Astyanax mexicanus: one gene and its partner. The protein of the gene in region 1 purifies or fractionates together with the protein of each later gene. This does not show direct contact. Links are inferred from orthologs where the notes say so. Each region holds a gene or a part of one and is shown in the gene's direction. Other genes may lie near its edges.

Region 1 (7,713 bases):
CACAGTGTTTCTATGAACACATTATATAAAGGCACATTATATTGATTTTTACCCTCCATTGTTCCATTGATCTTCATGTGCTCACACTGTTTAAAGGGCAATTTTATGACCGTGACAATATGCAGGATTATCAGTTCACTGGTCTGATAATGCAACCTTTCACCTTCAAAATAATGACATATAGTTGTGGTCGGAAGTTTACATACACTTATTATGGACATGTGCCTCGGCAATATCGGGATGTGCTTTTTTTTTAACTTGTCAAACTTACATACAATATATAGGATCATACATGCACACAAAAATATTATATATGCATATATACTAAATTGCACTTTGACTAGATATGTTTAGCAGCCATGCAAACAAAACTTGACAGATCTCTGCTTGGATATTTTATTGCTATTACAGACAGAACTGGAAGTTTAATATTTATTTTGATTTCAACGCACAGGCCCAACTTTCCTCATGTCTTTGTTTGGGTAGAGTTAAGGAAAACCACTGTGTCCATATTTTAGCTGCATCGCTAATGGTTTGAGGTTATTTTGAAAAATTACTTTTTTATTATTCCATCCTATTTGTGCAATATACCAGTTCCACTTTCAGAAAAGTAGACCACAAATGTGATACTACCACCACCATGCTTAATAGTTGGAACAGCCAAAGTGATTAGGGTTAAATTCCTGAATGTTTTTCTTCCAAACATCTCTACTCAATGTGATCCCAAAACTCTTTCCTCCACGAGCTGTTTTTTATGTCCACGTGGTGTGGTTGCAAGCCAACAAGCTTAAAGGTGTCAACATTGGAGCCAATGATTCTTGGACATTAGCCCACAACAATGTAAAACTCACTTGACCGTTGACAATGACACTGGTGATTCAGCAGTTTCCATAGCAAGCCTGTGCCTTGGAATAATAAAATTAAATCCTCTCAGTGATTTTATTCAAGATTTTACCTTTTTTTACCCAGTGTTAATTTCAGACGTCCTCCCTTTCAACTCCAAAAAAAAAAAGAAAGCCCAATATTGTCAAACGATTTTCTGACCACTAATGTAAAGCAACTAAGTAATACTACAACGCAATATTTATCAGAAATTAAATGATTGACACAAGTGCAGGGCCTGGGATATGTTTTTGTTGGTCACAATGAGCACTTGGTCACAGAGTTCAGCTTTGTAGTTGTTAAGGGTTCATATAATGGAATTGCTGAGGTTCTTTAGTGAACACAGAGCCTATTCACCTTAATCGGCTGATGTGTTGACTATGTTTTAACTGAAATGTTTTTGTTTTATTTAAATATTAAAAAAATATTTAGGATATCTTTATGTATTGCTATCCTAATGTTTGAATATCAAAATAGTAGAATTACTTCCATTATTACATCAATGGGCCTAAAAATGATTACATTATTTATCTTAACATGTCTTGTGTCTTTTATTTAACTCATGACAGGCATAATGAAAACATAAATTGAAAAAAAAATTTGTGAACGCTGACTTTCACCCCCTTGACCATAAACTGACACCATTACCCTTACCCTCATACATCATGGTCATTATTTCTATTGTCCCTGTTACCATTGTATCAGTACACCTGAATATATGAGAGCAATGTACAATGTATGTATAACGCTTTTTTTAATTATTAATTTAGTAAATAAAGTATTCTGACCAGAGGAGAATGGGTCTCCACTTATGTATGAGCCTTGTTTCCTAACAAGACTTCTTCCTCAAGCTTTGAGAGAATTTGTCCTTTTAACTGTTGCTCACTGTGGATTTTATGTTCTAAGTTTTATATTACGTTAGACTCTTTGTCCTGCTAACAGACTTCTGTAAAACTTCTGTGTGACTTCAGCTGTAAAAACAAAAAGAGCTATGTAATAAATTAAATTAAAATTTGATTTGATTTAGAATTTAACAGTTAAAACAGTACATCCTGAATGAACTGATATTGTGATGTCACAAATGTCATTTGATGGCCACCAGCTACTAGGACTGAATGTGACTGGATTATTCTAGCAGCTAGCATCTGGGTACCTTTGTGTCTTTCAGGTTTCTGATGGTGTGAAAGTGCCGAGTTGTCACAGGATGTGGTGCAAACTGAACTGTCAAAAAGCCACATTTCCGCACTGAAACAGACTTTGATTGACTACATAGTCTGAATGTTTTCCCAAGACAAAGAGGATGACAATTACTTTATTTTATAATCACTATAAATCACAGCAAGCAGACCAAACGTGAACATTTTATACACCTGTAAGGATTGTTCAATTAGAAACTGTGGAGAAAACCCTTAAGGTGCTTTGCTTTAGGTTTTTTGAATGTTTTAAAAGAAAAATGTTCTCGAATGTTCCTCAAAGCACAGTAAAAGGTTTCTCCACTGTTCCAAAGGTACGAGCCCCTAAAAGTTATTTAAGAAACCTATATTTTAACAGTGTACAGTCATATAGCTTAACTTAAACTTAAAGTATTGTAAAAGTGTCTGTGATAAGCTGTTCAACAGCATGTTGTCTTCTCTCCGAAGAACCCAGCTGCCTATATTCATACTCTGACTGTACTATCACTGCCAGTGCAGTAAAAATGATCTTACCATGTTCCAGATCCTGGTGGTCGTACCACGGTTCCTCCTCTTTAATCTCGAATTCCCCCTCAGAAATCATGTCTGCGAGCTTCTCCAGCGAGGAACACAGGGAACAGGTTTATCATGCAGATCTCTGGAGACTGTACATCACCTCCCTGTAGATGAGTTGCTTCACCCAGCCTGCAGTCACAGCTTCAGCAGATCTGCAGCGAGGATCTGCGGGTCTTCAGGCGGTCAGTCCTGCTAGAACAGTAGGAGGCTGTACTGCAGGTGCATTAATGACTCTCAGCAGAAACACCATCAACGTGGCGCGCGCTCTCTGTACCGCAGATAACGGAGTGACGCACTGAGAGTTCCCGCGCGCTAATCTATCAGAACAGCCCACTCACCTGTACACCTGTGAAGTCATCACTCGAGGTAAACGAAGACCCTAACAAAAAAAGAAAAAAAAGGAAGAAAAAAATCAAAATAGAAGACTAACTAAAAAAACAAAAATGTTCTTCTAAAAAAAAAAACAATTCATAAACGGAAAGCAATCAAAATAATCCAAAATTAAAGTCCAAAATCCCTCAAATAAAAGACAAACAAGGAAAACATGGACATTTAAAATTTTATTTTTGTGTTTAAACCCATCAAAGAATATAGAAATCAGTAATGGTATATAAAGATGTATATATAGCCACTGACAACAAAAAATAAAACCAAGAAATACCTTTAAAAAAAAAAATTAAAAACACAAAATATGAATATTTAAAAAAGGTGACTTAAGTGCCTAAAGCACAAACAAAAAACTAAGTAAAAAGTAAATGTAACAAAAATAAATAAATAAAAGTAATAAAACTTCAAAAACAAATAATATTCGAAATGAGCATTTTTTTTGGAAAATATTGTTTGGAGACTAAATCAAATAATAATAATAAAAAAAACAATAAAACAATAAAAATGCCAAATAGAATTCCTCCTGAAATCTTAAAAAAAGTTGAGTGTCTTAATTGCTTAAAGTAAAAGAGCAAAATAAAAATAAAAAAGAAAATCCTCAAAAGAAAAACTTTCAAAATATGACCTTTTTAGTGTCTAAAACGCATCAAGTAACAATAAACAAACAAAAAAAGGAAAAGAAAACAATGATATCCACATTAAGTGTCCACAAAACTTAGCTCAAATAAGTCAAATAAAATAAAATTTAAAGGGGGACATTTTATAAAAAGTGGACTAAATGTCTAAAATATATTGAAGTAAAACAGTAAAACAAACAATAATGAGTAAATAAAGTTGAAAGAGTGTGTAATTCCTAATTTATAAATTCTTCACTTTAACCCAATTGAATATTTTATTGTTAACAGCATTAACAAGTATATAGTTATATAGTTAGTTTAACTTTTTCTTTATTTTACTGTTAATTCCCAGATTTGTAGTGTAATGATTTTATGTTAAATGTGAAACTCAGTGAGAGGAGGTGGAGCGCCACCTGCTGGGGACTGGAGCTGATTACACGCCTCTGGATTACACTGATGACGAAGGAATTCATATCAAGAGTTGCCAGATTCGCGTTTTTGCGCCAAATCGGGCTTGTTTGAAAATCCATTAGCCGGTGAAAAGTCTGGGGTGGCAAGGTGCGTTTTGGGGCTACTTTTAAAAATGACAGCGTCCGCCAAAAAACAAAAAAGCGGGGTTCGTCTTGTTATGTCAAACGTGTACGAGTCGACACTAAAATAATTAATAATTGGAAGATTGATTACATCAATAAGAACCAGAAAATGATGGAAAAAATATTAAAGAGAAGAGAAGAGAGTTCGAGAGGGGCAAGAACAGAAAAGAGAAATTAAACGTTATTGTTTTGCTAATTATGTTACTATTAAATGTTCTTGACTGTGATATAAAACTGCTGTAAAATAAATAATAAAACACTAATATTACAATATTATTAATGACTTTAAGATAAATAGCAATACTGGTAATAAATCCCTCATAAACAAAATACTAAGTCGTACACTCGAAATTTGCCATTTGCTCCGAACTTGTGATAGACACGTTAGGCTTTTGAAGGGAGGATTTTAGACTGACTTTGGGCTGGATACTTTTGTTGGACCTGGCAACCCTGCATCTAACCCAGGAAGCGCTTCACCTCCACCGGCTCTCCGTCATTACTGTAGTGCAGTAGCTGTTTTAACAGCAGCGCCTCGCTGATGCAGCGCTTTATTAACGCGTTATCGGTGTGTTTTTGGGATTAGCGATTCTCTGACAGAAGATGGGGTCCTCTAATCTCCACCACGCCTTCAGGTCTGTGTGTGTTTGTGTGTTTTTTTGGGGGGGGGGTATTTAAGTGTATTTATACCTGCAGCACCTGGAGTAATGTTCCTCAGGGAGTTGTAATAGAAGAGGAGCTGAGGTCGCTCAGGACCTGTGTGTGTTATTTATTTATCTGGCTGTGTGCTCTGTACAGATGAGGGCTCTGCTGTTTGGAGGCTGGGTGGTGCTTTATGTGGCGGTTCTGCTAGCAGCGCGGAGGAGGATGTGGTCTGGGAAGTACGTCCGCAGTCCTCTGGCTCGAGCCGCGATTATGAACATGGTGACCGACACTGAGTTTACAGGGCCAGACTTCCAGGAGGTAAATATCCCTTCTTTTTAACGTGAATTCAATAATATACCTATGTAATATACATATATAATGTGTTTGCTCAGATTTACTGAGGGTTTAGTGCCAGGATGTAAGGACTGTTCTATGTCAAATATTAATTTCTGAACTCTTGAGCTCTGGGAAAAAAAATTAAACCACTACAGTTTCTGAATCAGTTTTTATGATTTAGCAATTTATAGGTATATGAGTAAAATGAACATTGTTTCTTTATTCTATAAACTACGGCCAACGTTTCTCCCAAGTTCCAAATAAAAATATTGTCATTTAGCGCATTTATGTGCAGAAAATGAAAAATAGCTGAAGTAACAGATGCAGAGCTTTCAGACCTCAAATAATGCAAAGAAAACATGTTCATATTTACAAGTATTAAAGATGTCAGAAATCAATATTTGGTGAAATAACCCTGGTTTTCGTGCATTTTGGCATATTCTCCTCCACCAGTCTTTCACACTGCTTTTGGATAACATTATGCCACTCCTGGTGCAAAAATTCAAGCAGTTCAGTTTGGTATAATGGCTTGTGGTCATTCATCTTCCTCGTGATTATATTACAGAGGTTTTCAATTTGGTAAAATCAAAGAAACTAATGATTTTTAACGTGGTCTCTTAACTTTTTCCAGATTTGTATATATATTTCAATATTTCAGTGAATATTCATGAGAAGGATTTCTCTGCTTAGGAAAAAAAACAGTCTAACCAGCTTGAGCTGGCTAGACTGGTTGCCCCGCTTAGCTGTTGTTCAGGAGCTACAGAGCATGCTTTAGCTTTAGTTTTGGGTTTGATGGTTTAGCTGGTCTAAACCATGATCCTATTGACCAAGCTAAACAAATTAGTGAGCTAGCTATGACAGCTAGGGGGTGGGCGATATGACCCTAAAATATTTTAGGGTCATATTTTGTTATATAGGGTTATATAGGGTATTTTTGTTATAACTATATTTTTGGTGATATAAAAACCATGGTTTTGTTTTAAATTAAATTAAAGATTATTCTGCTGTAACTGTGCCTGTCACAATAGTTACATTATTGACTTGTACAATAAATTTCACACAACCACCATACTATTTGATAATTGTGATTAGAGGTGCGACATATTGTATTGTACGCAATAATATTGGCAACATTTTTGAATAGTGTTAAAGATATTATACCCTGAAATATCGTGCATATCACCCACCCCTAATCATCACATCAGGGTACTACTTTTCTGGCTGTTTTTAGCAAAAGTAAATTTTACACTGTTCTCATTTCCCATTATATTTCTACTAGAGGCTGATAATATCTATCCAGTATCATTCGTTTTACTTTAAACCTGGAGACATTTGAGTGCAATATTAGTATGATGATATTCTGCGTCATTGACTTTTGTTACAATAGATGACCAGCTTTTCTTCATCAGGGATGTGCATGTGATTGATGGATGGGCCTTGTGTAATTTCAGTGGTACCGTTGCTGTCCTGATATGCTTGGTGAGAAGATTCGACCACTGTTTGTGCAGAGTAATTTAGACACAGACACTCAAACCTTTCTTGAAAACAGTGTAGAGAAATCTGGATGGCTTTTCACACAACTCTACCACTCGTTCTTCTCCACCATCTTCAGTCCCATCATCTCAAGAACGTCCATTAATGGGTAACTCGTAGCAACACTTTGTTCATTTTGTTTAGAGATGTTGACTGAATGTATTTACACAGGCACAACCAACATTTAATCACAGATGTGATGTGATGAAGATTTAGGTGTTTAAAAAAGTTATTTAGTTCTAATTTTTAAAGACAAAACCATATAACATTAAGACAGAAATGTAATTTTGTTTACCTTAGTATGTTTATCAGTCTCAGTGACAGCTTAATATTAGTTGTAGTTATTATTAACCACAGTCTGTTATGGTTAATAGTTATATATCATTTTCTTTAATACCTCTATTTTTGATGTTTTACTGTTTTTTTTTTTTTGTTTGTTTTTTTGTAAACAGGTTTCTAGGTCGGGGTTCTATGTTTGTCTTTTCACTGGATCAGTTTCGTAATCTCCTCCAAATTGACTCAGACTGGAAAGGAGAAAGGCTCCTAGACCTAGGGGCTGGGGATGGTGGCGTCACAGAGGTCATGGGCTCTCATTTCAGAGAGGTTTATGCCACTGAGGTGTCCCCTCCAATGAAATGGCAGCTCCAGAGAAAGAACTACAAGTGTGTTCATTTATATATATATATATATATATGATTTATTACATTATATATATATATATATTTTTTTTTTTATTATTTTTTTTTTTTGTATTAAGGAACAATTTAATGTTCTCTAAAATCTTGAAAATGTTTTAGAGTTTATGAAAGGGAAATGTTCTTAGTGTTAACACTGACATCAGCTCTGGAAAAAAAATAGATACCACTTCAGTTTCTCTGATTTTGCTATTTACAGGTATGTGTTTGAGTAAAATGAACATGGTTGTTTTATTCTATAAACAATCGAAAACATTTCTCCCAAATTTCAAATAAATAT
Region 2 (6,979 bases), on another chromosome or scaffold:
GTCATTCTTTCCTGTGAGAAAGAAATCTGTTGCTATGGAGAATCCATACTTCCCACGCACTCTTTATCAGGCATATGGCCTTTTTCACACTAGTATGAGATGATAAGAAGCTACTTGTGCTAATTTGTGCTATTATCATTCATCTTTGTAATCTGAAAGTTGAAAGTGTCCTCTGTGATGGAAGGGCAGTCTCGGCTGAATGAAAGTGATCATTATTCATTAGAATCCACAGTCAGTGGTAAAGCAGGCTTGTGTGAGAGTGCATGCAGCATGCAAGAGGTTAAAGGTGCGCAAACTGAATAATTTGCATCATCAGCTGCACAACTGGACCTGCTCTCACTTCCAGGCAATCAGCTCAGCCCTGGATACACTGATTAGACCAGAATTCTGGCCAAGACTTGAGGCCTTGGAGGATATGGAAAGGGTGTGATATTAGGGGTTTTTGAGCGTACTATGGACTAGTGGTCTTACAACCTAATGCTGAAGACAATGGACTCTATTTTAGCGATCTGTAGTTGAGCTATAAACCGTGCACTGTGAAGCTTGATTTAGTGTCTTTGCTATTGTAACTATAGGAAAAGTACACCTAGAGCAGCTTGAAACACACAAAAGTCATGGATCATTTATCTTAAATCATCATGTGTGTGTTTTGGGCTTAAGTATACACCAATCAGTGCACTGCCAGGTGCGCTCTGTCTCTGAGGGCCCTATCGTACAGCCTGTGAAAGGCGCTATCTTACACCCCGTCAACAGTCTATTTTAACGCCTCGTTAACATAGCCTTAGAGTTAAGGAATATAATAATGCAGATAGGTATGGAGGTCTGAAAGCAACATGTGTTCAGGTAAACATCTGGTGCATTCCTATGTTGGCAGAAGAAAACACAGGTGCACTACTGACTGATTAAAACCCTGACAACAATCAGCCGTGCAATCATGTCTGGATAGCAATCAACTATAAAATATAACATACTTAAAAATTTGCACAGCAACTAAAAGTTATTATTAGTTATATTTTTTCTGACCTTTATAAGGATTCATATTTATGTTCAGTACATTCTGCTGTTTGAGAATTTGACAGATGCTCTTTCTCACTCATTCTCTTTCACATCCTGCAGTTTTGGAAAGGAAAAGAAAAAAGCACTTCGATTGATCATAAATTATTTTATTTCACTTAGCTATTATTTAACTGATTTGCTTTTATACTGTTTATATTTAAAAAAACATCAAAGCACATTGCCACCACCCTCTTGCATCTCACGCTGCCCGTCAATTCTTCAAAACCTGAACTTCAAAGAAATGTGAAATACACAGATCTATAAAGCTATATTATAGCTGTTTTGCATCATTATGATACCAAAGAAACAGGACACACCTCTAAATCCATCTGCACAAAGCGCAACTGATAACTGCGCTATAGATAACTAAAATAGGCCCCTTACACTTTTTTAATAAAATGTCACTTGTGAAATGTTACTTTTAACTAACTATCTAACTGGCAGTGTTATGTGATAAATGTTCTAATAACATTGTAATGCAAATCATTATCAAGTCATAATACAGGCTAACCATCCTGGAAAATTTTCAAATCATTGCTAAATGTTCTTAGCATGGAACCTAAAAGGTAACTAATTTTACCAAAATGTCTATTTTTGGAATGGCTTAGTTTTTCATTACATAACATATTGGCTGCATGAATATGCAGAAATGACAGTTGTATTAGTTTTTTTTTTTTTTTTACCTTTTTGTGCATTGTTTTTTTTTTTTTATTTAACCTCCACTGATCATGAAACCATGTGTTGTCAATCATGCATGTTTTATCTCCTAAAATATTTTATTGGCTCCAGAATTAGGTTAGTCACACAATGTCTCTAGTTAAAAGTTTAATGTGTAATCATGGGCTAAATTAGTACTGAAACAAGACGAGTGAATCTGTTTTGCACAGATCTTATCTTAAAAATACATGCATTTTAAATTAATTTTCAAAACACGCTCAGTATTAGCTGACCAGTGCAGACCAGTTAATTAGCTGTTTAATTACTGTTAAAAGAGCTCAGTCTTCATGTATGTGACATGTACACCAGTCATGGCCTGACCTTGGCATATCCTGTGGTAAAGTGGTGTGTTTGTACAGTTTCATTCTCTGGTCGAGGTCAGCGATATCTTAACGTCTCAAACACCTGACTGCTCAACAGCTGCGACTGTCTCACAGACTGAAACGAGCACCAGTAATACTCTGTCGTTTCTGATGAAATTCCAGTCCAGTTTCTGGCAATGCCCCATGTTTATGCTGAGCATTTACCACACATTAGTGCTTGTGCTAAATGGCAAAACAGCCACAGGCTAGATCATGCTTAACTGTGACAGAAGCACAAAACTCATCATTTAAAAGTACTTTAAATCTCCCTCATCTGCTGACCACAGACAGCAGGTACAGATTCCTCCCTCAGACAAAGTCTGCTGGCTAATTATGCTGTCCACTTGTCTGACAATCTCAACCAGCAGACTGAAATGCTAAAATAAAAAAATAAAAAATACACTCAGCACCCCATCTTGACAGAAAAAAACAGAAATGCAGAAATATTTGCAAATTTATTAAAAAAGAAAACTGAAATGTCACATGGTCATAAGTATTCAGACTCTTTGCTGTGACACTCATATTTAACTCACATGCTGTCCATTTCTTCAGATTCTCCTTGAGATTACTTCATTGGAGTCCAGCTGTGTTTAATTAATTAAACTTAGGAAAAGCACACACCTGTCTATATAAGACCTCACAGTGCGTCTGTGCAAATGAGAATCAGAGCTCAGAGACAGAATTGTGGCACAAGCCTGGCCAAGCTTACAAAATAATTTCTGCAGCATTCAAAGTTCATAGGAGCACAGTGGCCTCAATAATCCATAAATGGAAGAAGTTTGGGATGACCAAAACTTGTCCTATGTATTTTTATTTATTTTTAGTTTAATTTATTCATTGTTTCTTTTATTTTTTTATGATGTTTCCAAAATAATACAAATAATACAATCACCGCAATGAGCACACAAGCACATATTTCAAATAAATAAACAATTTATTTATTTATTAAGATTTTGCAACAACGTAGAAATAATACAACTTTACAAAATCCATGCATCTACATGACAGTAGAACAAATAGCATCACATATTAGGAACAAATAAACAATTATAGAAAATAAATAACACAAAATGCTTACATCTTTTTGCAAATTAGAAATGTTGTATTTTATAGGTTATTAACCATTTTTATTAACCAAAGACTTTTATAGATGTTTGTATATTTAATCATTTTTAATAAAAATGTATTTTACTGAAGAAAATAAATAAATAAATAAAACCACTGTTTAAACAGCTTATTGTATTATTATTTGAGAGAGTAAAAGTTTTTCTTTCCAAATAATTATATTCAGGCTATAAATAAGAAAATGTTTTAGCAAAAAATGACATCTTGCTAAAACTATAAGCAGATTAACAATGTAGTACTCATTCGTTGATCGATGATGATTATAGACAAACAATACATTAACTAAATGCAAGGAGAGGTTATAGTCTATATGTATAGTATACAATGAGTGCATTTCTTTTATTTATTATTATAGATAAAATAATAAAAAGGAATCTTTTAAAAACCACTAACAAAAGAAATATAATACAAAAAATAATAACAATTACATTTAAAAGAGAGAATTAAAATAAATATTTTTATATAAAATATAAGAAATTAATAAAAAAGGCCAAACTCACTGTAATTTTTTCATTATTTTGAAAGTCAGCAAGAAACATTTTAATTACACCTCAAAATAATGACTTATTGTGTATAAGTGGTGATGTAGTGTGTGAAGTTGAGTGTAGAGCTCCTGGACGGGTTGGTGGGGTTAGTTCAGGTGTTAGTTCAGGTGGCGGGAACGGGGAGCTCCTCTTCTCTAATCCGGGGAAAAGTTTCTGGGCGCAGCCTGAAAGCGAGAAATCGGGGCTACGCACTTTGCGCCCCATCGCTGCATAAAGCGGAGCGGGGCGTGCCGCTGCTGCGTAAGCGAGTTGGTGAATGCCGCCTCTCGCCTGTGTGGCGGCCGCGTTTTGCGCGCAGTGAGGATTTTGGTACCGAGCGGAGAGGAGATGCACACGGCACTCGAGTGAGGTAACTGTATAAAAACGCCGCGGTTTCATCTCTCGCTCTCACAGCAGCGACCCGGGCAGCTTAACAGCACGCAGCTGGGCCGGCTGCCCGAACCGGGGTCGGTCTGGAGCAGTTAGTTCGGTTTAAGCGGCGGAAAAAAGGCGAAGCTTTTGTTGTTGGGCTGCGGGTTAAGGCGGACATTTCCCCGTCCTGCCCTCGCTGCGGCTCTAACGCAGCGCTATAGCTCGTTCAGCTAAGCTAAGATAAGCTAGGCTAGGCTAGGCTAATGTGAGCTAGTGTGTGCTTGTGTGTGTTAATGTTGAGCTAAACCTGGAGCTTTACTGGCCGGCCTTTAGACCACTGGGTTATATAACTGGGTTAACTGGGTTAGTTAGCTGGTTAATAGTTGTGCTGTTTAATTAAGTTTAAGTGAGCTGAGCTAAGCTAAACTAGCTAACTAACACAAACAGTGAATCTGGTAAATTAGCTGTAGCCAGTTCACTAGCTTAGCTAGGGAACATGTGGTGTGTTAAGATTCGGGTCATGACAAAAAGGATTACAACGCTTATTTAGCTCGCATTCGGCCACTAATGATGATGATAATAATAAACATTAATAAAAAATAAACGTGTTAAAACGTGTAGGTCAACCAAATACGAATATGCAGTTGTTAAAGTTGCTAACTAGCTAATTACCCTTTCCATTATTTACCTCACTGTGCGTCTGCTCCTGAGCTCCACGTGTAAGCACTAGATATGACTGTCATTATTTTCAGATACTAAGTCTTTATTTTGAGTCAGCAAAAACATCTTCAAATAACACCTTAGTATCTCAAATTAATGACTTGGCATCTCAAAATGCTACTCCTGCTCCTGAGCGACTCTATTCCAGGTGACTCATAAGACACTGAGAAAATGCCAAATATTATTTTTAAACACCCTGTTTACAGAACAATTACGCGTTTCTGTGTAACCTTAATGTCTTAAGTGTCACATTTACATTGTAAAACATCATAAAAAGAGAAAAAAAACCTTTTGACTGCTACTGTATTCATACCTTTTGAACTTTTCCGGCATTTTTTCACGTTACACCCACAAATATGTATTTGATTGAGGTTTTATGTGAAAGACCAACACAAAGCTGCATGTGGTTGTAAAATGAACATGCAGAATACATAGTTTAGGAAAGATTTAAGTAAATACAAATCTAAAAAATGTGGCCTGCATTTGTACTCTGATATCTATAAAAATAAAATAATGTGATCCATTACTCTCAGAAGTCACCTAATTAGCTAGTAAGTAGAGTCTATCTCTATGTAATTTATTCTGAGCAGAATTACAGCTGTTTCATGAAGCCCTGTGAGATTTTATAGAGATAATGCATAATTAAACAGCATGATTAAAAACAAGAAACACACCAGACAGGTCAGGGATAAAGTTGTGGAAAAGTGTGAAATTCTAAATTTCAGGAATGTTTCTTGTTAGTATGAAATGCAGAAATGGAAAAACTATGAATGGACAAAAACCCCATTTTCTATTCAGTTTGATAAATAGAAAAATGAAACAAAGTTTTACACCAATGTTTCCATTTTCAAGTCTAGCCTCAAACAGTCTGAAGACTGAAATTACCAATGTTTTACTGACTCATCTTACGCTTTGTAGATTATGTATTTGTATAAGTTGGTGTTATTTAGCACTGAATTAATGGCATAGTTGAAATTTGTTTTGTTAATCGTTCTGTAAAGCTGTCCATCACTGTAGTATGAAGACAGATCCATAAAATTTCTCTTTCTCTTTTACTTTGCAAGAAATCTCCTTTCCTTACCATATGAATTATGTATAATGACGTGTTTACAGTATTCATTGTGAACGTCTAAACACACTGACTTAACTTGGTATGACATCAGCTTAAAGTGACAGTCCTTAAGTTTTTAGTGTGAATGTGTAACTGCACAGAGCATGCTTAAAAAGTACCTATAAAATGTGCATTGTAGTGCACAGGGCAGAAGGATCTGATTTTAAGAAAAATTCTGTTGTGTTCTCTAATTTTGTGTTTGTTTGGTTTAACGATGAGTGAATGAGAGCAGAGGACATACAGTTTTTTATTACAAAATAAAGAAGTACTACTATTTCAATTTAAATATACATCTTTCCTTAAATAAATGAGATGTTTATAAAATCAAATATCAGATAGAACAACTTTGTCACAATTCTGAGTACACTGAGGCAAATCTTTAATAAAAAAATGCTCTGTTAAATGTAATCTGTTAAAATATAATGCATAAATGTCTTAATATTACAACTCTGTTTGCTTTTCTATGTACTTACTTATCAGGGGAAAGTAATTAAGCATGACGCACACACACACACACTCACAGACATGGAAGGAGAGAATCTATAACTAGTGCTGTTGCTAATTGTGTTGTGCAGAGCAGAAGTTCTACCAAGAAGTTTTACAAACTGAGGTAGAACTTCTGCTCTGCACAACACAATTAGATAGATAGATAGATAGATCTATCTATCTATCTATCTATCTATCTATCTATCTATCTATCTATCTATCTATCTATCTATCTATCTATCTATCTATCTATCTATCTATCTATCTATCTATCTATCTATCTATCTATCTATCTATCTATCTATCTATCTAATTGTGTTGTGCAGAGCAGAAGTTCTACCTCAGTTTGTAAGCTGACTATTTTTCTACCTGTAGCTACAGTTTACTATGTTTATGGCGCTCATTGTCCACTTTCCGCAAATTTTTAGTGTTTGTAGCATAGAGGTATGGACAACTTAACTTTACATTTTTGAGAAATCAGTGATCCTGATCTTTCCACACAATTC

What was found.
Region 2: the proteins of mettl9 (region 1) and slc39a10 purify together in Homo sapiens (co-immunoprecipitation; 3 studies listed by BioGRID and IntAct, with this or other methods). This does not show direct contact. The link is inferred for Astyanax mexicanus from reciprocal best matches to the Homo sapiens genes METTL9 and SLC39A10.

Annotation. Positions count from the first base shown.
Region 1 is NC_064422.1:28,297,771-28,305,483, reverse strand, and holds the start of mettl9 (methyltransferase-like protein 9), read left to right. Parts: upstream 1-4,706; 5' UTR 4,707-4,859; intron 4,860-5,022; coding exon 5,023-5,187; intron 5,188-6,656; coding exon 6,657-6,847; intron 6,848-7,190; coding exon 7,191-7,400; intron 7,401-7,713. UniProt on the Homo sapiens protein: Protein-histidine N-methyltransferase that specifically catalyzes 1-methylhistidine (pros-methylhistidine) methylation of target proteins.
Region 2 is NC_064418.1:17,814,107-17,821,085, reverse strand, and holds the start of slc39a10 (zinc transporter ZIP10), read left to right. Parts: upstream 1-3,962; 5' UTR 3,963-4,154; intron 4,155-6,979. UniProt on the Homo sapiens protein: Zinc-influx transporter. When associated with SLC39A6, the heterodimer formed by SLC39A10 and SLC39A6 mediates cellular zinc uptake to trigger cells to undergo epithelial-to-mesenchymal transition (EMT).